Linked DNA regions of Caenorhabditis elegans. The protein of the gene in region 3 purifies or fractionates together with the protein of the main gene of each other region. This does not show direct contact. Each region holds a gene or a part of one and is shown on either strand. Other genes may lie near its edges. The genes, in order: smc-4, capg-2, hcp-6 and mix-1.

Region 1 (7,898 bases), on a different chromosome or scaffold from region 3:
AAAGTATTTTATCAAGCACCTTATGCATTTTATTATTCGGTTTTCTGTAGGGAAGCAAGACGACTCGCTGAAATTTGGTGGGCAAAAAATTTGAGATTTTTTCCGCAAACCATGTACGTGCTGCAGAAACTTGATCAGAAAAATCCAGATGGGTTTAATTACACTGATTTTGAGGAAGAGGTTCAGGTAATAATTTAATCTTATTGTTAAACAAGGGAGAAATTTAGTACGTTTAGAAAGTGATCCCAAGGTCCTGGATACAGAACCATCATTCATTTACACTCTTGTCGCTGTTGAATGAAGAGAGCCTTTACGTGAAGTTCAACTTGATAATGCCCTCGGATTCTGAGAATATGAACAGAGTAAGCTATTATATTTTGATTGGTCAAGAAAGTAAATCAATATTTTTAAGGTGAAGGTCAACCAAGTAATTAAATTTCTCGGTTTCCATGAAATTGGAGACTGTGAGTTTTCTATGATCTATCAATATGTTAGTTCAAAGTCCGCTTCAGAATCTACATACAGCATCCACAAAGTGAGAGTTTTTTTAGTGGATTTCTTTTCAACTTCGAATTTTCAGTTCATGTGTGAAGACTTTCCGGGATGGGAGACACAATACAATAACGAAAAGAAAAGCATGGATAGGATCTTTGAGATAATTATTCAGGAGCAAAAAGTAAGAATGATTGAACATATATGAGAAAACATTTCAATGTTTTTCAGTTATTTTGGACGGAATATGATTATCATACATACAAACGCCATGCATACAAGATTGCTGTCCCGATGGTCTTCTCGCTTAACATTGTAGACAAAGCTGTTGGAGTTCGAAGTGATGCTCGCTAGCTAGTTAATGATAGCCCTGTCTTTCCCGTTCAACTCGATCTCTTTGAAAAAAATTCATTAAATCACATCAGAATCGCTCGAAAAAAAAATTTGAAGCTTTCAAGACAATCCCCAAAAAAGCATGCTCAAATCGTTATTTTGGAATCTTCAAATTTTCGGAGCATTTTTTCTTATTACGATGTTTTTTTCCTTAGCCAAATCTGTTTGTATGTATTTATCAGTTCCCGTTGATTTAATGTTTAGTTGGTAGAAATAAATATGAATAAAGTTTTAAGTTTCAATGTTTCGCAGTTGAAGAATTCGTAGAATCCACAATCCATCCTCCAAAATCGGGAGTTATTTTGTCAATGGCCAGTGTGAAGAAGCACGGAGTTTCAGCCGGATGAAGAGATCGAACACGCTGAAATTGAATGAAAATCTTAGTGATCCGAAATAAAAACATACAGCTGATAGCTCTTCGACTTTGCTTTCTACAGTTTTCAAGATCACGACATGCTCTTGATCTTCTTCAATTTTTCCTTGCCATTTGTATCTGAATATCTGGATTCTCGCACAGATTTAAAAAAGATAAAATACTTACACAGATGTGACTTCCGGAATAACATTGGCGCAAGCGGCTAATGCTTCAGTGACAGTTGTTCTGAAATGAAATTATGTTTTGGTAGACAGAAAACAAAAAAATACCTTGCCACAGTCATTGCAACTTCCTTACTCGGAGCTGTCACATACGCGACAACCATTTTTACAGCGGGTGTTGTCATTTTTATTTGAAAACTTATTTTATGTTGAAGCAATTCAGAAATGTTTAATTAATTACCGTACTTCATTCTAGCTCTCGTCGTATAATTAAATGTATGGGTCGCACTTGCGCGTCACGGTGTTTGCACACACTTGTATGCGCGCCAAAATTTTGTTCGAATTTCACCGCCAATAATTGTTTAGCCGCTGCTGTCCCACTTTTTGTTTTTGTTGGGAAATGTCTTTTTCATATTAAGCACTCAAATCCTAAAAATCAACGTATTTTAGGGTTGATGCCTCCGAAGACTTCGGCGGCGCCGCCACAATCAGACGAATCTGATTCTGATTTTGATGACGCTCCTGTTAAAAAGCCGCAGAAAAAGACAACGAAGCCTGTGAACCGACACAAGGAAGGATCAAAGGACCCGGAAGAAGAACTACAGGTATCCCTCTCAGAATATTTAAAAGCAGCAATAAAACTGAAATTTTTATTCAGAGAGCGGTAAATGAAAAATTTGATGGAAGCGACGGAGAGGACGACGACAGTGATCTTTTCTCATTGGTATGTTACTCTGTTTTTAATATTAAAGTCATTACATTTTACAGCAACTGCCATCGCGACCCGATTTCCTTACAAAACCGAATCGGGCGGATCGTTTGATGATTCGCAATGTTGAAGTGGACAATTTCAAGAGTTACTTCGGCAAGGCTTCCATTGGACCATTTCACAAAAGTTTCACATCAATTATCGGTCCAAATGGATCTGGAAAGTCTAATTTAATCGATTCGCTCTTATTCGTTTTCGGTTTCCGTGCTTCCAAAATTCGTTCTGCAAAAGTGTCAAATTTGATTCACAAAAGTGCTGGAAGAAATCCAGACAAATGCACAGTCACTATTCATTTTCAGCGGATCGTCGATATTGTAAGTGAATCAGAGAATCTAATAAAATATAAATTTGCTTTTTTTCAGCCTGGGCATTACGAAGTCGTCAAGGATTCTGAGTTCACAATCTCTAGAACTGCTTTTCAAAATAACTCAAGCTCATATGCTATCGATGGTCGACCGGCAACGAAGAATGAAGTTGAAGCACGCCTACGACGCGTTGACATTGATATTGAGCATAATCGTTTTCTAATTCTTCAGGTAAAAGTGACAATAAAACCGGTAATAAACATTTTTTTCAGGGAGAAGTCGAACAAATTGCAATGATGAAACCAGTGAAAACCACCAAAAGTGAAACTGGAATGGTTGAATATTTGGAGGATATTATCGGAACAAACCGACTCGAGCCCTTTGTTAAATTATTCCAGCGACGCGTCAATCGTCTTACTTGTGATCTTTCTCAACAAAGAATCGCTCGTGATCACGCCAGAAACAGCAAAGTAGCTATGGAGAATCCAGTTAGAGCTGCAATTGAGTTTCTGATGAAAGAAAACGAGGCTACAACGATTCATATGAAATTGGAGCAAAGAAGACGGTAGTTCTGAAATATTCCAGGTTAAAATAACATTTAACGTTTTAAGGCAACGATACCTAGATAAAATTGCTCCAAAACAAGCCGAACTTGACAAGATGAAAGAAGAAATGAAATCGATTGCTGAAACGCTGGATACCAACAAAAACGAATACAAACAATCTGAGGAAGCTCAGAAAGTTATGATTGAAGAGCGTTCGAAACTCGACAAAAACTTTGATAGTCTATCTAAGGAATTGAGCGACTTGGGCACTGAAGAGACTCGCAGGAAGGAGGCTTTGAAAAGGCATCAAGCTAATATTTCAAAGGCGGAAGCTGAGAAGGAAAAAGAGGTTAAAAAGCGATCAAATCTGGAAGCAGCACCCGAAAAGGCGGAGAGAAAAATCGCAAAATGTCAGGAAGAAGTGGAACAGTTGCTTGAAATAGAGAAAACAGCTAACGAGGAAGCCGACAAGAATCTTGATGAATTTGAAAAACGCTCTGAAGCGCCAAAAGAAGAACAAAAGAAGATTCAAGAGACTTGGGCGCAGAAGAGCAACGAATTTAACAAAGTTCGAGGTGAAGCAAGGATTGCACGGGAAGATTTCGAGGATTTAAAGAAGCTCGCGAATTCTGGAACGGATAAGCTTATCGAACTGAAGAAACGATTAGAATCTTCAGAAGAAAGTTATGCGAAAGAGAAGGATGAGTTAGATAAGCTGAAGCCGGAATTTGATTCTTGGAATGATAAGTTAAAACAACTGAGTACAGAATTGCCAACTCTTCGAAATACGGCAAGACAGAAGAATCAAGATGTAGGTTTTCAAAAAGCCTGATAAATTTAAATAAATCCTATTTTACAGTTGGCAAAAACGCGTGATCGTCTCGAAACTCTTCGCCAGCAAAACTCGTCTTGCTCAAGTTCGAATAAAGTTATTCAAGCCTTAATGAAGGAAAAAGAAGCTGGAAGAATTAAAAGTTTTCACGGTCGTCTTGGTGATCTCGGTGTCATTGATCCGAAATATGAGGGAGCGATTTGCACAAATTTCGGGGCCCGTCTCAACTATCTTATTGTAGGGAAAGAAGAAGATGCAAAAAATGTCATCAATTTTTTAGTTGCTGTAAGTTTTATAACCCTCATTTTCTAGGAATACATTGGTTTTCAGAATAAATTACCTCGACAAACTGTTCAGCCATTGGACAAAATTAAGTGTGATAAGAGAGATTTAGCTCCCAATCCGACGAACCCATTACCTGCTCCTCGTCTTATTGATCTGATTGATTGTGATCCTGTTCTTAAACCAGCATTCTATGATATGGTGCGTAGTGCAATTGTGGGCGATTCTACCCAGGAAGCTCAGCGAATGCATAGAATGCCCGCTTGTCGTGGTGTTACCGTGTGCACACTAGAAGGTTCTATGATTCACCCATCTGGATCATTCACAGGAGGTGGAAAAACAGTGAAAGGTCTCATTCTCACGGATAAAAATAAGATGGCTAAACAAGTGACACCTGAAGATAAAGCCGCTGAACGAGATTTAGCTGAAAAACTTGGAAAATTGAGAGATGAAGCTGATGAACTTAAAGGACAAGAGCATGAAGTAAGATATTAAAGGATAAAAATATAAAATATAACAAACCGATTTTTAGATGGACGGACAGCTAATCGAAGCACGTCGCAAAGTCGCTGAAATGAGTAATCGTTTGTCTATTGTGACTTCTTCAGTTCAATCTGCAGCTCCAGCAATTGAAACCCTCAAGAAAACGATCGCAAATCAAGAAAAAGAAGCAGCGAAAGTTAAGGTGGATGCGAAGACATTAGAAGATAAACAGAAGATTGTTGAGGAGCTCGAAAAAAGTAATTTTCCGTCATATCATCATGATTTGGGTAATATATTTCATTTCAGAACGAGATGAGTTGGGCGAAGAAGCTGCGAAAGTAAAAGCTCGTCAAGCTGAAATTCAGAGTAAGCTTGACGGAATCTTCAAGGAACTTGTACAATGTCATCGAGACGAAGCCAAAGAGTCTCTTCAGAAACGTCAAAAACTTGAGAAGGATATCGCCAAAGAAACTGCAAATATTTCCAATTCGGGCAGAAACATTGCAAAGTGCGATGAGAACATTTCCAGACACGATAAAGACATTGAGAAGATGAAGAAAAAGTGCGAAGAATTGATGGAGAAAGCAATCGATGATGAGGAAGTGAAATCGAAGAAAGAAACGGTTGAGCGCTTTGAAAAGCAAATCAAGAAGTTACAGACAAAAGGAGAGGAAATGACGAAGAAACAATCGGAATTGTCAGCTGCAGAGACGAAATTGGAGGGAGAATTGAAAAAGTGCAGTGAGGGAATAAAGGAGTTGAAGGAAAGTATGTTGGCAGATCGATTAAAGGTTGAGGATATTGAAAAGAAGGTTTGTTATTAATAAAAATCTATTAAATTAAATGTTCTTTTTTTACAGCTCGCTGCTTTGAAAGTTAATCGAATCCCACGATTCCAATTTCTCATCGAATCAAGTCGGCCAGAAGATCTCGAAATGCAAATCGATGATAAAATGCCGGTGGTTGATGAAAATCAGAGTCCAGAAGAAGTTGAACGACAAAAGAAGCATATGGCCTGCGTGATGAGTGACGCCGCGTACGCTCTCGAGTTCGAAATGCGACAGAAAGTGTTGGAAAACACTGAATCGTATGAGAATGTCGACGGAGAGGACCGGGTACCGGTCGAGCTTCTGTCCGACGAGAAAATCAACGAGATTTCGAGCCGAGACGCTGAAGAAATGCAAATGAAGCTGAAAGTGTGTGAACAACAAGTGGAAGCATTGAAAGCTAAAGTTGATATCTCATCGATTAAAGCTTATGTTGATAAGGTCAAGCAATACAATGAACAAGTGATCAAGTTGACAATAGCCACAGAAGTACATCGAAAACATAATCAAGAACTTCAACGAATCAAGCAGATGCGACTTGAAGAATTCCATGTAAGAAATCAGACGTTGATAGGTTTCTGATTAATTTTTAAAAAATATTTCAGTCTGCATTCGAATTCATTGGAAAACATTTGGTTGCCGTTTTCAAAATGCTAACTGACGGAGGAGATGCCAAATTGGAATACATTGATAAAGACGATCCATTCCGACAAGGAATCAGTTTTATGGTTCGCCCAGCGAAGAAAGCTTGGAAGCAAATTCAATTCCTTTCGGGTGGAGAGAAGACATTGTCCTCATTGGCTCTCATTTTTGCGCTCCACATGTTCAGGTACTAAATACTTTCTTTAATAATTATTATAATCCCTCGTTTAGACCTACTCCATTCTACGTTATGGACGAAATCGATGCTGCTCTCGACTATCGTAACGTTTCGATTATTGCCCAATACGTCCGACAAAAGACTGAAAACGCGCAGTTTATTATTATTTCTTTGAGAAATAATATGTTTGAACTCGCCAATCGTCTCGTTGGTATCTATAAAGTTGATGGGTGTACTCGTAATGTAGCCATTGATCCATTGAGAGTTTGTGAGATGGCGAAGCAAATTACGGACAGTTTGGGGCAGGCCACGTGTACTCTTCCTGATGAAGTAACTCAACGATTCAATGAGACAATGAGTCGGCAGAATAAGGAAATGATTGCACAAGAAAAACAATATCCGAACTTCCCATCATCAAATGAGATTTCAAAGGCCGAAAAGATTGTTAACGTTGAAGGACGTGTCAGGAAAGAATTGATTCAAACTACCCGAGATGTCACTTCAAGACCACAATCCAAAGCAACGACAAGTGGCGATGGAACTGAAAGACCGGCTAGTCGGTCAGCAAGTCGACCCGAATCTCGTATAAATCGTAAGACCAATGGCGTATTTATTATGAAAATGAAACAACTTATTTTTAGAAATGAAATATCCTGCTCCACGCCTTGTCGAAAGATCGTCGTCACAGAATGTTCGTAGCCCGAGAAAGGCACGAAACATAGAGGCCGATGAGGTTAGTTTCATTAAAAAATTTGAGACTCATTTTATTTCCCATTTTCAGACTACTCCACCTTCAAAGCGTTCAAATTCCGCAAGTACACCAAAACGATCTCCAATGAAACCGTTGACACCGTCGAGTAAAAAGAAGGAGAAGGCAATCGTTGATGACGATGATGATATGGAATAATTCATTCAAAAAAGTTCTATCCTCTTTTGTTTTGACGGGTATTAGTTCTCTGATCCCTCGACTCTTCCGTTTATTATTATTTTAAACTCGCGCAAATGATACTCATGTGCAATTCTTTAACCTCTCCCTGTTCAAGAAATCTCTCCCTTTTCCTTTTTATTTATTCTTATTCTCAATTATATTTAATTTGAGGGCCAAAGTTTGAGCCATTTTGCGTTGTATTTTTTTTTCGGCTCCAAACTGTAATTTAATGATATAATTGAGCTATGTGTCTTTTCGTTTGAAATAAGAACGTTTATCGGTGAAGCGTTGACTAGTATATCCCTCATGGTTAATCTGATTCAGATTTCCATTTTCACTATTTATTTTGTGGATTTTCACTGTAACTCGTGTTATGCATGTAATTTCAGATATGTCTACTTCTTCACATACCGTACTTCTGATTCAAACATCACCACGTCTTGATTCACGGACTTGGGGAGATTATGAGAGTGTAACTGACGCTCTTGATGGTAACCATTCCGTGAGAATTATTATGTTTAATGGAATTTTTCAGCTCTTTGCAAGATGTTTGAAGATTTCCTTTCCAAGAAATCAGCTGCTCCAGTCACATACGACGTGTCGCAAGTCTACGAGTTTCTCGATAAGCTCTCCGATGTTTCTATGATGATCTTCAATCGCGTATGTATTATTGATCTGCATATCC
Region 2 (6,215 bases), on a different chromosome or scaffold from region 3:
TTGCCAAATCTAAGAACGATACAATTTAGAACAATATCGCATGTTTCAACAAAGAGCTCAGTGATACTACAGTACACCTACATCACCAATTACTCCTACAGTACCAATACAGTACCCCAAAAATATATATGTTTTCTGAGTGTTCTCAGCAGTTTTCTCGTATTTTTACTATATTACAACAATTGTTTTAAATTTTCGCGGATTGTGACCTTAAAATACATTTGATTTCGACAGAAATCCGAGTGACCATGAATTTCTGAAATAAAATAAATGCATTTTAATCGTCTTCTTGTTCAATTGTTTTCCACGGAGGAATGTTCTGAAAATTGCAAATGTTTATTTTTTAAACTTTAAATTCAATTTATATGTCGATAAATTTATTTATCGATTAACAAAACAGAGAAACAAAAGCATTCTAAAAACTAATAAGGCATGAAAATAAAGTTACTACCACTTTTATCTAATTATTCGCTTCCAAGCTCTACACGAACAAAATCGAGAATGTTAGCATTGTGGGATTTTAGGTACTCATGAACAGATTGAGATGGATTCAACATGAAGGCTTGGCGGAGAAGAGCAGTTTCCGATTCATCAATATTAGTTACAACAACTGGATCAGCATTTGGATCATGCCCTTCTTGACTACGAAGCCCTTCTTGAGTTTTCACAGATTCTGCAGCTTCGCCGAGGGATTCCGGGGACATTCCGATAATGTGCTGGCATATCTGTCCGGCAAGTTGCTGACTACTGATTGACCCTGTAAATGTTAAGACTTAATTTTTTACTTTATTTCTTTGTTTCACCTGGACTCGATTGATTTAGAGCGATGAGTGAAATGAACCGTCCCATCGGGATATCATCAGTTCCATCTTTAGGATGTGAAGCTCCAAACAAAGTTGTTCCTTCGGGAGCTTTAAAAGCCTTAACTCTTCTCACTGTCATGTTCTCACCAAGCTTTCCGATTGAAAGGGAGAGCACTTCACGCATATTTTTTCCGTCGGAATCGGTCAGATCCCCAAGATCATAGGTGAATTCTTGAAGTTTTGAGCCGCTCGATATAGATTGTGGCTTAGCTTTTGCGAGAACAGAGTTGGAGATGTTTGACAACAAATCCTTGAAAGCTCCAGATCGCGCCACAAAATCAGTTTCACAACTGAGTTCTACCACAGCTGCTGTTGAGTTGTCCGTGACTACAGATACAAGACCATTCGATGTTACACGAGTTCCAAGTCTGGAATATTCTATAACTATTAAAATAATTCCTTGTGAAGTCAACATTCCAAATTAAAAAAATTTCAAAATAAACACTTACTTTGCCGCTTTGGCCCATCCTTCCTTCGCTGCAGCTTCTTTCAACCATTTTACAGCACTATCCATATCATTTTCGCCAAACTGAATAAGTGCTTTACGACAATTCACATAACTATAACCAGTCTTTTTTCGAAGAGCCATTAGAGCCTGAAAAACAATTATTTTTTATTTTTTAAAATTAATTAGGGTTCCTAGATTTTAATACCTCTTTAGAGACTTTCTTTTCGGCCTCAGCCAAGTTTCGACTAGTCGTTGATAGTAGACGTACAAATGGAGCTCTAGCAAACATTTCTAAAATTGGAAACTTTAGTTTTCAGTCAATATTGATAATTATTTTAAGAGAATAAAGCAAATTATGCAATTTTCTGGGCATTTTTTGCATTAAAAAATGAAAAGGCAAGTGCGCCCCAATGAGAAAGACGGCCGCGCGAAAGAATTCGTTTTGAACATAACAAGGAAAATGTGTTTCTTTTTTTTTAATTGCGAGGTAAATTATATTATTGAATTATTTTATTGATTATTTATAATTATTTTTAGGTGAAAACTTTAATACTATTATTTTTTGCTATTTTTTTGTTGAAATAAATTCTATAATTCCATAGAAATTTTCAGTAAAGAGATCAATGCCGAAGAGCAATCCGGTAACACCTAACAAACAACCATCAGAAGACTGGAATGAGTTACTCACAGAGTTCCGTGGAAAAGGAGGTCGGGCTCTTCAGAAAACATTCATCAGAAAATTGTGGGCAGTTCAAGAAGATATTATTGCCAATGCAAATCCATCGACTCTTCGGTGTATTTTCTTCGCACCAGCCTTGTTGATTTGTCCGGAAGGTATAAAATTATCAGCTGAAATTCTCCCAAAAATTGGTGTTGGAAATGGACTGATACTACTCGAGAAGTTAATACTAAAGTTCAATCTCACCGAGTAAAGTTTATACGCTGAAGAATTCCATTTATATATATTTTTGCAGCACTGAATGTCAAAGGTATGGTGAAGTATTCGTCACAGCTTGGAGAAATGCATATCAGGAGGCTAACTTTGATTTGACAGAGGAATTGGAGACCGATGTGATCAGTGTCATGTGTCAGCATGCATTATATGCTCACAGGCCTACCTGCACTAAATTTCAAAATGTGATTGCCGCATTTGCACACGCGAAAAAACTGGACAAAAGTGTAGATGAAATGGTGACAAGGCTTCTCAATGGATGTCTTTACCGAGCGCTGGACGCTCCAAATTACATTGTACAGTCATCAGCTGCAGAAGTATTTTTCAATTTTTACCCACTAATTGGCGAGGATACTGAAGACATGGATAGGATAATGGAAAACCAACATCGATATATGATGGACTTATTACGTAGTGATGTTATTTCCATTCGAAGCGAAGCCACGAAACATGTCTTGAAGGCAATCAGCGAATTCTGGCTTCTTATTCCAAAAAATATCGTGAAGGAACTCATGGGATACATCATTGATACAGTCGCGAAAGACACTGTTGTCAGCGTCCGCGTCGCCGTTTTTGAAGGTCTTAATGAAATGGCATTTGTTCCGGCATGTCTCACAGCATTCGAATATGGATTGAAATGTGCCGTTGATCCAGCACTACAGGATAAATCTGAACGAGTTCGTCTTGCTGCTTACCAAATAATTTCTCGTCTGAAGAATCATAAATTTATTAGGTAAAATGAACCCAAATCAACAAACTAAAAAATAAATTTTCAGTGTGTTCGATATCATTACTCGAGATGATGCCATTGCGAAACTCGATCTGGAAAACGTAGAGACCTGCCGCCGTCAACTGATTCCAATTATGCATATTTGTCTTCCTATCTCGAAAAGTCTGGATGAAGCATACTATCGTCCTCGTGTCAACTACATGTTAGGAAAAAGTCGATTGGCTCTTTTGAGTTACTTCCGATTGCTTGGCCCAATGAAAATCATTGATGCATCCCAAGCATCCAAACTTATCGAAATGTTTATAACCTGGGCATATCGTTATCTTCGTAAAAAGGATGGCCCTCCATTACCAGAGACTGCCGAAGGATACAAAAAAGCGAGAGCTTATCTTGAGTGTGCTCTCATTCTGTACATGTCATGCAAAGGAGTTAGTTTTCTATTTCTCAAATTTAAAATTGAAGACCTTTTTTAAAACATTATAAACTTCTAAACTTTTTCAGATGCTGATGTCAGATGGCGATGGAACTTCAAAAGCGAAATGTGATCAAATATTTGGAAAAGTTGTCAAGGAAATATTTGAAAAATACGCCAACACTCCTATTCTCGGAACTGCGACAGCAATCAGCAGTGTCATTCCTAAAGATTACCTTAAATCAATTGCTAATGATGTTCTCGCAAGACTGGAAGACGACGATGTTCCTCCAGAAGCAGTTGAGCCGTTTCTTGAATCTGCAATTCATTTCAACCCGGATTCTGTTTTTGATTCATTCGATAGTGGGCTTAATGTTCTTGTAAATTTGTATGGAACGAAACAGAGTAAGAAGAAACGACGTGAATTGGAGGATCCAGAAGATGTACTGATTATGACGTTGAACCGTCTCAAATATTTGCTACAGAGTCACAGTACATCAAATCTTATTGCAATGAAAGATGAATACCGAACTAAAGTCTTGGATTTGTTGAAGGTTTGTGTATTAGTTCATTATTGAAACAATAATATTATATTTAGAAAATTGATCTAATTCGAGAAGGAATTGAAATTAGGCTTGCAAAAGAAGAAGGCCAGGAGCACACTCTCAGTGATGATGTTCTTCTGTCGATACTCGAATTTAGATTCATTTTGCCCTTTTTCGCTGCAACTAATGGATCTGAAGATGCTGCGGATCGTAACCAAACTATCGAGTCAATGAAAAACCTTCTTCTTTGGTTTGAAAAAAATATTTCAAGTCAAATGGCGACTTTTGGTGAACACAATCAAGATTTTCTCATTCAATTAACAAGTACATTCTTGAATTGTGTAAACGTGTCACTATCTGCGTATGATTTCAAAACGAGACCTGTCGAATTTGAAGATGAGGAAGATAACGAGAATCGGGATCCAAGAGAAGAAAATGATGCAGCGAAAGATCAGGCTACGGTAGCAGAAGTTATAAGCAGGTAGGGTCATACGAAAGACTTAATTCTTTAGAAATGAAATATATTTATTAAGAAAGGGATTTAAATATGGAGCAACGCCAGTGGAAAATTGCTAACAACGATTCCCATACAAAAATGGTCGAATATCATAAAAAAATTTTTTTTTAAATAAGATTGTCTTAAATCTTCATTAATATCCTTTTCACTATTTAATAATTATGGAAGCCAAAAAATGGGTTTCTCTTGAACTAAAAATTTTGAAGAACTTAAAAATCTTCGGTGTATTTAGACGATATGCCCACTGTCGCTACTCGGTATTTAACCACAGGTTTTCATTTCTTGATAGAATAACAGTGAAGTTATTCTAAATGTCTTATAAGACGTCATATATCATTTTTATTTTTCAGAATCGTCAAGTCCTTCTGTAATAGTTCCACACCTTTTGAAATCTTCCGACCAGCTCTTCGAGTGGGCACAACGCTGTGCGACGAATCTTATTCTGAAGTGCACCACGAAATGGCACTTCTTCTCAGATTTATTCCAAAATGGATGAATAAGCAATGTGATTTGATGGAAGATGATGAAGAGAACATTTTTAAAAATCATCGAGAAATTGTGGAATCTTTACGCCAATTTCACAAGAGAGTTTCTGAAACTGATTATTGGGACGAAGATTCAGCTAAACGTATGATGCATCACTTTATGTTATTCTCAATTGTATCAGCTTCTTCGAAAAATGACGACGAGGCATATGATGATCCACGCGATGAAGATTATAAACCACCACACTTCATTTCTCTTGCACTAATCAAGTTCATTCTCAAAGAAAAATCGCTAACTGAAGACATTATTGAAGAAATATCAACCAATTATATTCCCGAAGACAGCAAGTATTTTACGGCAGAAGAAGGTGAACTGAAAACTGATGAAAAACTGTCTAAACTAGCAGCACTGTCACAACTTCTACGAATTCTCGAACGATATTCAAAATTCCATGGAAAGCTAATCAAAGAAGCCATCGACAAATGCACTACAAGAGTGCTGGATTGCTTCGCGAATGCCTCAGATCTGAATACTGTAGCCCATCACATTTTGAACAGTCTTTCTTCTCTTCTTGATGTCCAACTTCCAGATGAGAACAGACTCTAACCCTATTAATCTCTATATATAATTCTTTTATTTGATCTCATTGACGTTCTATATTTTTCTGCTTTATTGTTTTTTCTTTGTAAAAGTATTTTCCTGTTTTAGTTATTAACAATGTTTTAAACAAGATTCAATGATAAATCCAGCGGATGATCTTTTCCAAGAAGAAACCGGGTCGGCCAAAATGTATCCAAACTAGTCTTCATGGAAAGTCCTGAACCAGTTAAGGTTAGTGACTCGGGCATGTGCAATTTTGGGTTGTTGTTCGAACTATGACGGTTACGGCTTCTTCGGCTGCTAAATTGTTTCCCGCAACCCGTTACGGTGCATGTATGCATTTCGCGAAGATGTACTGCTGATGTATGGATTTTGAGTGCTCCCTTGTCACAAAATGATTTCGAACAGATGTCACAGGCAACACGACGTTTCAGTTTTAGAAGTGTCGACGTCTGAAAATTTAGGTTTTAGCGGTTAATTAGTGTCTGTAGTAGTTTCTCTCTGAATTACAGAATTCCGAATATAACCGTAAAAAATTCCAAAATTTTTTATGAGTAATTTCGTGAAAATTCGACACTTTGGTTTAAAGGCACATGATGGTTTTCTGAGTGGGTCCTGCCAAGATCTCAAATTATGGCTTTTAGAGATACAGTAACCCATCC
Region 3 (7,980 bases):
AAGCTTGACTTTCTGTAAAATTAAGGCGTTTTGTAAATTCAAGAAATTGTGAATACCTTACTTCTGTTTTTCAAGTCTTCCTTTTCGGTAATAGCCGACAAATTAAGGGAGAATGTGACATCGCTTGGATCTGCGTCTTCTCGTGATCGAATCGGAGTTGAACAATGACGTCCTGCACCAAGCTTACTTTCATCGAAAATCAACGGAGTCACTCCGCGTGACAGTGGATCATTTTCAGTGTTACCAGATGAACTTGTTGGCACATTTTCCTCTTCCTCGTCAACAGATTTCCGTTTTCGATTAGAATTCTCTTTCACGACTGGTGGCTCTGTTGACTGACCCCGACGACTACGACGCAAAGTGACGTTGGCCGAAATATTGACTTCCTTTTCCGGGGATTCTTCAAGAAAATAAATTATTTAAAACACATTTTTTCTTGTGTGAAAGCGTGGTCAATAAAATACAGCAAATTGAACAATGAAATCAGGAAAAATAACTTACTGTTGACAATTTTCGGCTTCTTCCATATTTTTCCATCAGCATCCACAGACTCTTCATCATCGTAATTTGGCGTTTTTCTACGACGAGCTGGAATAATTTTTGAATTCAGACGTTTTTTTTAGTATTGTTTATTGTTTTCGACGATTATGCATTGTAGTTTTTTTCAATCAAAAGTGAGCGAAAAGCCTGTCGTTAACTAACAAATTAATATAATTTTCTGTCGAAAAATAACACTCGGAATTGTATCTAGTTCACAAATGCCCAAAATTATCAGATTTTGCAACAACCAAAAAATTAAAACCAAAATTATTTCTCCAGTTTCGAAAGAATTTTTCTTGTGCAAAAAAAATCTAATTTATTAGATTTATCTAAGCTAAGTTCCCTTTCATCCAAATTTCCGCTCAACCATATACATACATCTTCTAGATTCCGATTGCACATCGACCACCTCGTCCTCTTCAGCTTCTGTAGCTGGAGGTATTTCAACAGCTATCACAGTTTTCTCCGCATCAACATGATCATTTTCGGCTGTCACAGTTTTCTCGGCGGCTGCCTCTTCCATTGGTTCCTCCTCTACAATGGTCTTCTCTTCTGTCTTGTCGGCCTGTTTAGAACGGTTTATCGTCGTATCATCTATCTTGGTTTCTTCCAAATTTGGAGGATTAAGGCGCATTTCAGTGTGAATAAGTGCTCCCAGAGAGCGACGAATCTTTTTAATAGTTTTTGGTGACAATAGTCTCGCATTCGGAGTAGACTTCTCTTCTGTGGTACTTCGGAGAGCATTTAATGGAGTTCTGGGCACATCAGCATCCGGGTTCTTCTTCTGTGGAGTTCTCATTTCTACTTCTTCTTCCACGTTTTCTTGATCTTCCTCGATTCTTCTAGCAGGTGACCCCATCTCAACAGCTTCAGCACTCTCTTGAACTGGCTCAGCATCGAGTTCCATTGGCGCCGGCGATTTCGAAAGTCTCTTCTGCTGCTTTTTAAACTCAGCGACTCTCTTCAAATACTCGTCGAGAATTCTATTCGCCTCCTCTGTTCTCTGTTTAACTCTTTGCAATTCAAACATCATCTCGTCCTTCAATTGACGATTGTCTTGAAGTATTTCGTCTATATCGTTCTTGTGTTCAATACATATCATTCGAATCGCGAGAAGACACTTTCTTTGGAGCGGCGAGCGATGTTGATTGAGAAATTCACGAAGAGATAGGATAGAAGGTACGATGGTTTTCATGTAGTGATCCAGATATACTTTTTGCATGAAGCCGGTTGCAGCTTCCAAAACTTCGGGAGATGGATCATCCATCGCATTTTCATTAGGATTCTTCCCGACGTCCATTTTCACTTGCATTTCGTTTGAAGCCATTATCTGTAATGCGAAAATTAAGATAAAATTGTAACATTTGTATTATTTAGTTACCAAAAGAGCATCGTCAAGTAGGCATTGAACATTGTAATCGCTGAAATCGTACTCTCCATTGACAATCGGAGTAAAGATACGCTGACAAATGCTCATTTTCACATCAAATCGGGAACGATCATCCAAAGAATCAATCATGAACGTGTAGATGGCAATTCTGGATGGTCTAGCCAATGGATCACCACCTCCAATAGCAACATCAACTTGTCCTCTGTCATCTTCATCGTGACCAACTCCAACCAATCGTCGAGCTTGCGTAAGTGCAATCATGTACTGTACAAAGTTGAGAGGGAAGAAGTTGGGCTCTTCAGATTGGAGAACCTCACTAATGTAAAGTTTTGCGTCATTCCGAACATCTTCATTGGCGTCAAGAGAAGCTAACATCATACGGATCATGATTTCTCCATTAAACCGAAAAATACCAAACGAGATTAGTCGAGCAATCTGATTGATGGCGTGTCGACGAACAATAACTGAAGGATCACACAACGATGCAGCGAGCATTGGCGCATATCGATCTGTTTTGTAGGATGAACAAATATCACCAATGGCTAGTACGATATTAGACCGAATTTGATGAGCTGTATTGTATTGAAGCTGTTTCACAAGCATCGGCATCAGTTTCAATAGACGATCGTGCGCCAAAATCATATTCGCCAAGGTGACGACTCCAACTGCACGGACTTTATCACTGAACATGGCACCTTCATGGGACATCATACCACCCTTGGAAGACTTCTGTGATGATGGAACTTCGGATAACTGAGTTGGTGGTCGTGTATGATGAACAGAAGGCATATCTGGATTAACTGTCGACGCATCAGAAGAACCGTTTTCCGTGGAATTCACAATCAGCGAAAGCGTTTTTCCGAGTCGTTCATGTCGCGGAACAAGTTGTGGTGAATAGGAAAATACTTCAGATGCCACGTTGAGAGCTGTACATAGAAGCCTTTCTTGACTTTCGGAATTTCGTTTCCATTCATCTTTGTCTTTGAACATCTCAAACGATTGCACGATCGTATCGAAACATTTAATGAGAAGAGTCTCTCCGAAATCGCTGAACTCTTTTCCATCTGAAAATAAAAATTGAATTAACATTTAAAAGAAAGACGTACGAAGAGATCTATCACCAATTCCGTCCATTAACTTTCCGAGACAATGGTAGATACTTCTAGAATGAGATGGATGCAGGCAATAATCACGAAAAGTTCCTTGCAAAGTGTTCACAAGATCTGATTTTGTATCGTCATCGATTTTCTTGATATTGTTCTCAATGACGTGGATCATGTATTGCACGAGATTTGATTCTCGAGACAAGTCAACTCTGCTGAACGTCTCAATCGCAAAATCAACGTTCTGTTCAAACTGAACACACAACTGCGAGAACACCATCCATGCGCCATCCAGTTTCTCACTGCCACTAATAATGTGCTGCTTCATCGAATCCATTACTGTGCGCTTGACGAGTTTTTCACGAACTGCATCTTTCAATGTGCTCATGAGGTATTGACGGTGATTGGTGACAGATTCAATTGTATCTAACAGCGTCCATGTGAGATCCGATGAGTTTTCGAGTAAGGGAGTGAGAACTTTCTGGAAATTGGAAACAAATTAAGCTTCTATTATAAATAATTAAGCCCATACCATAATCAACTTTCTGGCATGTTCAGTGACGTCATTATCTGTATCATTCAGCATCGAGATCAAGGTGTGAAGCCATTTTGAACTGAGACTTTCTCTGAAAATAAAATTTGTTTTAAATTTCGTCAAAGATTACAATTACTTGAAAAGGATTGCATCTCGTAACATAAGTTCTGTAAACGCATCGGCTCCAGTTTTTCTGACTGAAACCATTCTGTCTCGACATAACATTTGAAGAATTGAAAGCACAACTTCAAATTTCGATGCTTCGTCGCAATATGATAGATATGATTTGAGAAGCGAGCACGCAGCCTTCTTGACCGGAGCCTTGTCGTCAGTTGATAGTCGGCGCACGATCATATAAACTATATCCTTTTCAACGCGTGTCTCTCCCTTGTTCATCAGTTTCAACTTATTGAACTTTTGAATGATTTGCTGCTCGTCGAGAAGTAGATCCGTTGGCTTTTTTGTTTTACTACTTGGTGCTTTACCAGAAACATTTAAATCTTCAAGACTTTCACTCAGGTTGTCGCCCACTGCGCCGAACTTTTCATCCATTTCCGCATTTATTGTTGCGCAGAACAATTGGAAAGCTTCTCGATGCGATTGAGACTGAAGGATTTTCGTCAAACTATTGGCTCCGTGAAGTCGCATAGCTGCAGCTTTATCCAAACAAGCCATGTAAACGATGTTATACAGAACAGACATTGCATCCATTCGACCAACTTCTTTAACTTCCTTCGCCTTCTTTTCTTTCTTCTTCTCTTCTTTCTTTTTAGAAACATTCTCCTCGTTATCGCCATCATTCTCTTCGTCTGATTTATCCGACTGTTCTTCCTCTTTGACTGCAACATCATCCTGCTCGTTTTCTTCCTCCTCTTCTTCATCTTCCCCTTCCTCCTCCTCATCCTCTTCTTCATTCTGCTCTGCGTCCAAGTTTGGAATAGCTCCTGGGTCAGGTGCGGTGAAGTCAAAACTGCTGATGAGAATACTCGAGAGCTCTGTAGACAAGGATTTTACTCCGGCTCCGCGGCCTTTGAACAAGACATTCATGAACTGGACAAAATCATAGGTATATGTGTATGGAAGAGCTTCGAGAATCTTGTGGATAAACGTGGCGATATTTGTTCGAAACTCGGCTAGATCTGGACATTGTGAATACACCATCACAGTAACCTAAAATTTAAAAATAAGTTAATAAAATATTTCGAAGAAACTGCTCACTGTCTGAATATACTTCAACTCTCTTGCTTCGGGATTTCTTGAAATTCGTGATAGAATTAAATTGACATGTAATTCACCAGATCTCTTTCTCTCCGTTGAAATCTTTGAAGATTTATTGCTTTCATCTGGATATGGCATCAGCGCAAGGCGAGGGCGAATAAGTCTTCCGTAAGCCTAAATTTGTACTAACCTTATTAATTTGTTTTGTAATTTTTTTAATTTTAATCCCACCACTTCTGCTCTTGTTTTATACTTGCTTTCTACTAAAGAATGCACAAATGCACAGTATCGATCCGTAAATCGCTCCAACGATCGGAACTCGTGGACTGAATTCGCTCGAATCGCTCTTCCTGCGGTTCGATTGTCAAGATCTAAACGGCCGATGTCTTCCACGACTTCTAGTGTGCTCATGAGTGTTGGTGTATCAATACTGAAGGTGTTGCTATGCAGAAAAGCAAATAACTGGGTTGTGAGATGATGCAGGTATCGCTCAGCCGAATCGACAGCAATTCGAGGGGGACCAATTATAGGATCTGCTGCTCCCGTTGTTACAGTCATTTCTCCATCCACATTTGTTTCGTCTGACTTTCCACCCGCTTTCTTTTTCTTTGCTCCACTTGATTTTTTTGTAACGACAGTCTCTCCTATCCTAACTGTATGACAACAGTTTCGAATAATTTTCAGACATTGCTGAAAAAATAACATTGATTATATGACATGTAATAAACCCGTATACTTACATTGTATAAACCAATTTGATAAAGATCTGAGATTGCTCCAGGCAATGAGCACATAGCAATATAACTACTGGCAGCAGAAACTCCTTTATCAACATCCTCTTCCGAACTGTCAGATCTCTGTCCGTTTTCGAGAAAATACCAGACGAATAGATTAAACTTCATTGTCGCCACATCACTTTCTTCAAAAATATTCCGAATATCGCATTTCTTTCCCGAGATTACAACGCTTTCGGCAAGTTTCTTTACTGAAAATAACAATTTTGAATAGTGAAGCTAACAAAATTCTCAACATACGCTCTTTCAGAACTCCACTCAGATCTTGCTCGAAAAAAGTCAGGTCAACAGAATTTGTGAATTCTTCATAATCTTCATAATTGCATTCTGCTGAAGAAGTTGCAACGGCATCGTCAATATCGTTGAGAGACCGGAGATTTGACTCAAGAAACTCCGATAAATCTTTTTCGTTGATATTCGACATTGAATCTAAAATAAAAAATGAATCATTTCAATAAGGGTAATTTAAAACGTTAAAAATAAATATTTAGGAAAAAAAATTAGGATCTCTGTTTGAATTTACCGCGTTGAGATTTTTAGGCCACGGCCATTGTGTTTCTAGGCCATGGTGCAAACACGGCGCGCAATACTGCGGACAAAACATTTTAACACCCGATTTTTTTTTTTGGTTCTTACTTAGGCTTTTTACGTTTTGAGTGTTTTTCATCTTTCTTTGCTTAACTTAATATTTTTTAGGCAATGATCGGCCGCATGGGACTTGGCAGAGTTATAACTCGCAGTTTATCGTCGGTTGAGCCTGCATTATCTCAAAAATTGACAATACAGCCAGCAATCGAGGTTGACTATTTTTAAAAATTCATACTTGAACTTCTATATTTCCAGAGATCTCCAACAGATTTGTTAAATGCCTTGTCAGAAACCGTTGGCCCGGACACAACTGCTCCACATTTTGCCTACATTGACGATCCAATTACCATTCCTTCCACGCAGTCAACGAAAAAGACCTATTTTATGGCGAAGGTAAAATTTTTGCCGGAATATTAGAATAAGTTTGATAATTTTAGGAGTTTGGCAAAAGAGCTGCACGAGAACTAGCTACAGAATGGCCAACCCTCTTCGCTTTTGACAGAGATCAACCTCAGCTCCCGGTTTTCCGTCCTCGACATCTAGCAGATCCCCTTCAAGTTGAACCGACAGAGAATAACCTGCTTAAAATGATTTCAAGTCGAGAAGTAAAAGACTCGTGTATTTTGTATGAACGCATGCGATCAGAGAACGTTGACGTTAGCGAGAAAGTCCAGCTGGAACTATTCCGTCTTGTAACCTATTACAATTCGTCAAACGTACCTTTCGCAGAATGGGAGGAGTTTGTTGGAATGCGCAATTTTGGAGAAGATTCTACATCCTCATGGAAATCGGGTGCAGTCGCTGATCTTCTTTTCGAAACTCTCCCAAAAACTGATGAAACCGTTTCTATAATGATTGCTGGTCTATGCAAGTTTTCTGATCATTCTAGTTTGGAAAGAGCTAGAGAATTGTACAAGGAGCATCGAGCTGCAAAAGGAAAAGTTTACCGAGAAGCGTTCAATGGATTAATTGGCGCTTCAAGCTACAGTGTCGGGAAGAAATTGGTAGCTGAAATGATTTCCCTCAGAATGACACCCGATATTTTCACGTTCAATGCATTACTGTCGTCTGCTGCAAAAGCTGGAAAGTTTGAAGATCGTGTGAAGGCGTTCACTGAAATTATTGGAGAAATGAAAGAGATTGGAGTTGAACCAGCACTGTCATCTTTTCATTTAATTATCAAAAACATCATAGATTTTAAATTATTGGATAATGAAAAACGAGAGAGTGACGAGCAAAAGAAGACCTATAATCACCAGCTCACCGTGGCTATATCTTGGCTCAATGAAATTCAGAATAGCCTTACTGGAAAAACTCTCAAGCCGATTACATCCACTTGTAATCTTTTCTTCGTCGAAGCAATGGGAATCCATTACAGAGCTGCAAATGAGAACCTCGCAGAAAATCTTGTTTCAATTTATGAATCCAAAGCAAACGAAGTAAAGATGCCAGCATTCACAATTGAATCAATGTTCTATAATAGACAATTACAATTGGCTGTGGAACAAAGTGCTTCACTGAACAGAATTTATGATTTGTACACCACCATGGTACCACGACTTGTTGGAGTCAACAATTATCTGTCATCACTAGTTTTTCGAAAACTCGCTGCATCCTCCGATCGTCATTGGCCACTGTTACGGAGAGTAATCATCGACGGTATTGCAGCTGGACAGATGAATGGAGTTATTGGAGAAGAAATGCGCAAACAGTTGTGTAATGTACAACTACATGTAAGTTTTATTTCCAAATATCTTGTGTTTTTTACAAGTTTTTTTCAGACATTGGGAACTAGTGAACGGGAGCAATTCA
Region 4 (4,812 bases), on a different chromosome or scaffold from region 3:
AGTAAAAATGAAGAATATCAACTGCTTTGCTCATCAAGAACTATAATCTTCTCACGAGTACATGAATCACAAGCTGGTAGCCGAATAACAATGTACGATGGCTCCTTCTGGTAGACCTTCTTATCACAAATCGGGCAACAAAAGTTCGGAGTATGTACTAGATGTGGTCCGTCGACGACAGGAGCCAACTGATACGACTTTTTCAGAACTGGAGGGCACAGATCATCGTTGGCTGATCGCTTTTGAGCAGCATTTCGAACTGAAGCCATATCCGTCCTCCGGAGCAAGACGGGCGGAGCAACTTGTTGATACTCGTGATCACTTCGGTCTCGCTGGGGTACGAGCATCTGGTCGATGGTGGCGTACGCGAATTCTCCATTCATTAATTGGATCTGAAATTTCAAAGCTTTAAAAAATATACTTTATAGAAGTTTTATGAGCATTTTTCTTCGTTTTTTCTAGAAAAGCTCTGTTTTGATCCAAAAGTTGAAAATAATTACATTTTATCGGATCAAAACAGAGCTTATCTTGCCTAATTAAACAGAAAAAGTAAAGAGTTTCTCACCTTGTACTCCGAATCGCCTCGAACATATTTGACAACCGCATCTTGAAGACGACCATCAGCTGTCCGAATTTGAACGGTTTCTCCAATTATTGGGCTTCTTGTAGATTCTAAAATAATTTGGATAATTAAAATTAGTTCAAATAAGCTTCTGAAACTCACTTCCAGCTTCCAACTGTTCATGATGATGATGGTGATAACTTGTTGATGGAGCCTGATCGTTGTATGCAGAATCTTGAGCTTTTTCTTTTCTAAAAATAATAAAAATATAGTTAAAATTCTACGTGTTGACCTACATGGGCGGTAGAGCAAGTTGCACAAGTTGATGGACATTTTCAGTGCTTAAATTGTTTAAATCAATGTTCAAATTGGCGATTTCGGAGGGGGAAACATAGAATTGCTTCTGTTTTGATGTAATATTGACTCCACCATCATTTGTCAGAATAATATGCATTGCATTATCGATTATCTGACCATTCCCATCATATTCTTCCTCCGGCCCATTTCCATCACCTTCAAATTGATTTTCAATCATTTCGTGATGAACCATGTGATGATGTGAACCATCTTCTATGACAACTTCTTCATTGTGCTCTTGCTCGTTTTGTTTCGCCTGTCGTTGTTGACTAATCGCCACCACAATGTTCAGCTGCTCTTCGGTGAGATGATTAAGCTCAAAGCCTGCTTCTACATCGAAACCCGCTTCGTACATGTCTTCCTGCGTGATTTGAACCATATTCTGAAATATAAATATTCTTTCAATTCATCGAAAAGCTTGAAATACCATAAACTGTTGATCACCATCCTCCACAATCATATCTCCTTGTTCAAGATCTTCCGGCTGCTGCTGCTGCTGCTCAACAATTTCTTCTTCATGCTTAGCACTTTCAACTCGAAGTGGGGCCTGATCCTCGTGGAAAATATGATCTTCATCGGCAGGATATACACCTTCTGGGGAGGATCTGGAAATTCCATTTATTAATTTGAAAGAAAATGTGATTTTTATTCTTACCCAGGAATTTCTTCTTCACGGCCTGTTGTTGGGCTAGCAGGATTTTCTTTTTCGGAATCCATATCTGCAACGATTTTCGTTGTTTAATAAAAATTAAAAAATAAAAATTAATAAATGACTCTAAATTATAGCGAAGGAGAAAAAACAAAGGAGAAAAAAATTACAAAAATCACAAGGCAACTTTTGCGCGTCAAATCTCATACATTCCAGTCCGCAAACACTCTCACGCCACTCTGCACACTTCTCAAAAGACGCGCCAAAAAACATTCAAAGCTCATTCGGCTTTCGAAATAAACATTTTCTCAAACTCGTTATCGACTTATAACTTATTTTTGTTCAAAATCAATTCGACAGGGTGCGCTCATAATGCACATTAAATCCATCCATCTGGATGGCTTTAAATCGTACCAAAAGCACACCGATATTCTCGATTTTTCGCCGACTTTCAACGCAATCACCGGTGAGTATAGTTTTGTGCTGAAAACTAATAGTTTGAAAAACTTTAATTTCAGCATAAAATATAGTATAATAATTGTTTTATTTCAGGATACAATGGTAGTGGAAAATCCAATATTCTCGATTCGATCTGCTTCATTATGGGAATCAATAAGCTCGATAATATCAGAGCAAGTATGTGGCTCTTTCTCATCACAAAATTATTTTGTTGTCATAGTGATACTTACGCGCTTTCGGACTGAAAAAGCACAAGATCAGAGTAGCATAATATTTCTAGCAAAGATTTTTTAAATTGAAATTTAGAAAAAAAAATTAAGTCAAATATCATTCCAGAATCAATGCACGAGCTGATTTCCCATGGTGGAACAAAAGCGATCGTCCAAGTTCGCTTCGACAACACTGATAAAAGATGCTCCCCGTTCGGAATGGAACATCTCGACGAGATCGTCGTTCAGAGAATCATCACAGCTCAAGCAACTGGAAAAGGATGTGCAACGAGTTACACACTGAATGGGCATGCGGCCACAAATGGAAAAATGCAAGATTTCTTCCGTGGCGTCGGTTTGAACGTGAATAATCCACATTTTCTCATCATGCAAGGTCGTATTACTACGGTGCTAAACATGAAGCCGGAGGAAATCCTCGGAATGGTTGAGGAAGCAGCTGGAACAAAGATGTATGATCAGAAGAAGAAAGACGCGGAGAAAACAATGTTTTTAAAAGATGCAAAACTCAAAGAAGTTGATAGAATCTTCCAATCAAGTATTGATCCGAGAATGGTAAAGTTCCGTGAAGACAGAAAGAATATGGTGGAAGTGACTCGTCTCAAGAAACTCAAAGAGAACTTTTCCCGAAAATACGAGGCGTTTCAATACTTTCAAACATGTGAAGCGGTGAAAAAAAGTGCAAAAGAGATTGAAGATGCCAAAAAGGGAATTGAAGATCTCGGTGAAAAGTTTAATCAGCTTGATCTTGACTTGAAGAATAAGGAAGATGAGAAGAAAAAGATGGAAGAATCTCGAGATGATCAACATGAAGAGGCTGCACTTTCAGCGGCTCATCTTTCGAAACAATCTATAATGCTTCAGAAGGAGACTGTCAAAAATCAATTGGTTGAAACAATCAATAAACTCAAAAAGGAAGGTGAACAAATCAACAAAAGCTTGTCAAAAGATCGTGAAGTTCTCGACGCAAAACGAAAAGAACACGAAGATTCAAAGGCGGCTAACTCGAAAGATATTCAAAGTCAATCTGATGATGAAGCTGTAAGTTCGAGAAATTATTCTAAAAATAAAGTTAAAAAAAAACAATTTCAGCTCGTCACAAAATACCGTAATGACCTCGAATCCCTAACGAGAGGAACAATTGCTAATGACAAAGGAGAACATGTGTCGATTGAGAGTGAAATACAGTCTTGCAAGTCGACTGCGTCTCAAATGTCATCTGGGATTACTGCTGCGAAGAAACGGTAACTTTCCTGAGAATTGGAACAAAAAATCTAATTTTGTTTATGTCGATAAGAATAATGACAAAAATTTTGAGATATTTTAAGAAAAATCGAAAAACAAAAAGTTTCGTTTTTTCGCTTTTTGAAAACGTCAATGATAGTTTTTTTGCGGATACTTTCAATGAAATTATTCTGTCGTTTTCTCTTCAGTTTTCTGTTTAAAAAATTTTAAACCAGTTTTATACTATTTTTACATTGAAAACTGGTTTTAAACAATTTTTAAACAGAAAAATTAACATAAAACGATAAAAAATTGACTACAAACGATGTAATTTCATTGAAAAATTGCAAAAATTGAAAGAAAACACAACATCGAAAAAATAATGCATTAATTTGGAAATTCAGTAAATTTAATGGGACAAAAGAAGAAATGTACTTTTTTAAATAGGAATATCATTGAAAAATTGGCAATTTATTTCAGCGGTGAACGTCTACACAACCAAATTAAACATTTGGAAGGCGAAAAAGCTACTCTCTCAGCCAGAAGTAAATCTGACATTGGAAGTGCCGATAATTATCAAAAAGAGGTATCAGATATTTCAATTTTTTTTTCTCCGAAAACTTAAAAATATTCAGGTCGATGAGATCAATAAGCAACTTCAATTATTGGGTTTCAATATAGATGCTGATACGGAGAAACGAGAACACGCTGCAAAATTGCATGAGAGCATCACTAAGCTCAAGGATATGGATACGAGACTTCTGAATTCATACAAGTAAGGTTTTGTGTGAAAATTCATTTTAAAAGAGTTATACCGTTTCAAAATTTAAAAAAAAAAACCTATTTTCATAATAAAACCCGAATTTTGTCAATTTTTCAGTATCGCAGCGAGCGGAACTTGGTTTTTATTCAATTATCGCCTTTTTATTGCATATTTAAATATGAAAAAAAAAAAACATATATTTTTGTAGTATATTATGCGTTTTTTTTTCGTGAATTCAGGTGCATTTTCTGCACATTTTTGGTGAAATCGACCGAAAAGCCATCAACATTAACGAAAAAACGTGCAATAAAGAGTGATAATTTACTACGAACCAAGTTCCGGCCGTTATGACACTGAAAAGTTGGTAAAATTCGAGATATTAGCTTTAAAAAATAGTTTTCTTTCGGAATTTTGAGAAAACTTTTTTTAATTTTAAAACAGTTGTTTTTCAAAAATTAATGCTTTTTTTCAGCTAAAATTTCAAATTTCGCGAATTTTTTTTCGAGAGTTTCGGCATAATCAACTGAAAAAGCACCAAAATTTAGGAAAATTGCGTGATAAACTATCACAA

Evidence for each region.
Region 1: the proteins of hcp-6 (region 3) and smc-4 purify together in Caenorhabditis elegans (affinity purification with western blotting; 3 studies listed by BioGRID, with this or other methods). This does not show direct contact.
Region 2: the proteins of hcp-6 (region 3) and capg-2 purify together in Caenorhabditis elegans (affinity purification with western blotting, with the first as the bait; one study listed by BioGRID). This does not show direct contact.
Region 4: the proteins of hcp-6 (region 3) and mix-1 purify together in Caenorhabditis elegans (affinity purification with western blotting; 2 studies listed by BioGRID). This does not show direct contact.

The regions. Positions count from the first base shown.
Region 1 is NC_003281.10:4,585,629-4,593,526, forward strand, and holds smc-4 (Structural maintenance of chromosomes protein 4), read left to right. Parts: upstream 1-1,872; 5' UTR 1,873-1,877; coding exon 1,878-2,027; intron 2,028-2,080; coding exon 2,081-2,146; intron 2,147-2,190; coding exon 2,191-2,505; intron 2,506-2,553; coding exon 2,554-2,727; intron 2,728-2,768; coding exon 2,769-3,061; intron 3,062-3,107; coding exon 3,108-3,852; intron 3,853-3,900; coding exon 3,901-4,158; intron 4,159-4,203; coding exon 4,204-4,638; intron 4,639-4,687; coding exon 4,688-4,895; intron 4,896-4,944; coding exon 4,945-5,450; intron 5,451-5,498; coding exon 5,499-6,017; intron 6,018-6,070; coding exon 6,071-6,294; intron 6,295-6,338; coding exon 6,339-6,877; intron 6,878-6,926; coding exon 6,927-7,018; intron 7,019-7,066; coding exon 7,067-7,192; 3' UTR 7,193-7,496; downstream 7,497-7,898. Other genes in the region: F35G12.5 (SPK domain-containing protein), read left to right, coding at 1-3, 51-186, 237-362, 413-535, 581-676, 724-846; F35G12.7 (Divalent-cation tolerance protein CutA), read right to left, coding at 1,124-1,246, 1,291-1,378, 1,427-1,486, 1,531-1,607; erh-2 (Enhancer of rudimentary homolog 2), read left to right, coding at 7,605-7,704, 7,749-7,873. UniProt on the Caenorhabditis elegans protein: Central component of the condensin I complex, a complex required for conversion of interphase chromatin into mitotic-like condense chromosomes. The condensin I complex introduces positive supercoils into relaxed DNA in the presence of type I topoisomerases.
Region 2 is NC_003283.11:12,269,950-12,276,164, forward strand, and holds capg-2 (CAP-G condensin subunit), read left to right. Parts: upstream 1-1,923; 5' UTR 1,924-1,934; coding exon 1,935-2,239; intron 2,240-2,285; coding exon 2,286-2,996; intron 2,997-3,039; coding exon 3,040-3,421; intron 3,422-3,494; coding exon 3,495-3,959; intron 3,960-4,003; coding exon 4,004-4,431; intron 4,432-4,817; coding exon 4,818-5,559; 3' UTR 5,560-5,675; downstream 5,676-6,215. Other genes in the region: tsfm-1 (Elongation factor Ts, mitochondrial), read right to left, coding at 465-757, 804-1,231, 1,313-1,458, 1,517-1,600; bnc-1 (Basonuclin zinc finger protein homolog), read right to left, coding at 5,676-6,005.
Region 3 is NC_003279.8:5,163,181-5,171,160, reverse strand, and holds the start of hcp-6 (Condensin-2 complex subunit hcp-6), read right to left. Parts: upstream 6,014-7,980; 5' UTR 6,005-6,013; coding exon 5,821-6,004; intron 5,772-5,820; coding exon 5,527-5,771; intron 5,477-5,526; coding exon 5,018-5,476; intron 4,961-5,017; coding exon 4,787-4,960; intron 4,739-4,786; coding exon 3,705-4,738; intron 3,660-3,704; coding exon 3,566-3,659; intron 3,515-3,565; coding exon 3,037-3,514; intron 2,995-3,036; coding exon 1,922-2,994; intron 1,871-1,921; coding exon 919-1,870; intron 589-918; coding exon 502-588; intron 401-501; coding exon 57-400; intron 13-56; coding exon 1-12. Other genes in the region: let-630 (Small ribosomal subunit protein mS39), read left to right, coding at 6,280-6,378, 6,424-6,561, 6,606-7,901, 7,950-7,980. UniProt on the Caenorhabditis elegans protein: Chromosomal protein which is recruited to mitotic chromosomes by hcp-3 (CENP-A) and hcp-4 (CENP-C).
Region 4 is NC_003280.10:10,822,444-10,827,255, forward strand, and holds the start of mix-1 (Mitotic chromosome and X-chromosome-associated protein mix-1), read left to right. Parts: upstream 1-1,802; 5' UTR 1,803-1,940; coding exon 1,941-2,034; intron 2,035-2,120; coding exon 2,121-2,204; intron 2,205-2,363; coding exon 2,364-3,295; intron 3,296-3,346; coding exon 3,347-3,498; intron 3,499-3,958; coding exon 3,959-4,064; intron 4,065-4,113; coding exon 4,114-4,253; intron 4,254-4,812. Other genes in the region: R06F6.12 (uncharacterized protein), read right to left, coding at 18-392, 566-672, 725-813, 859-1,301, 1,347-1,524, 1,575-1,636. UniProt on the Caenorhabditis elegans protein: Essential protein required for both chromosome condensation and segregation and X-chromosome dosage compensation depending on its binding partners.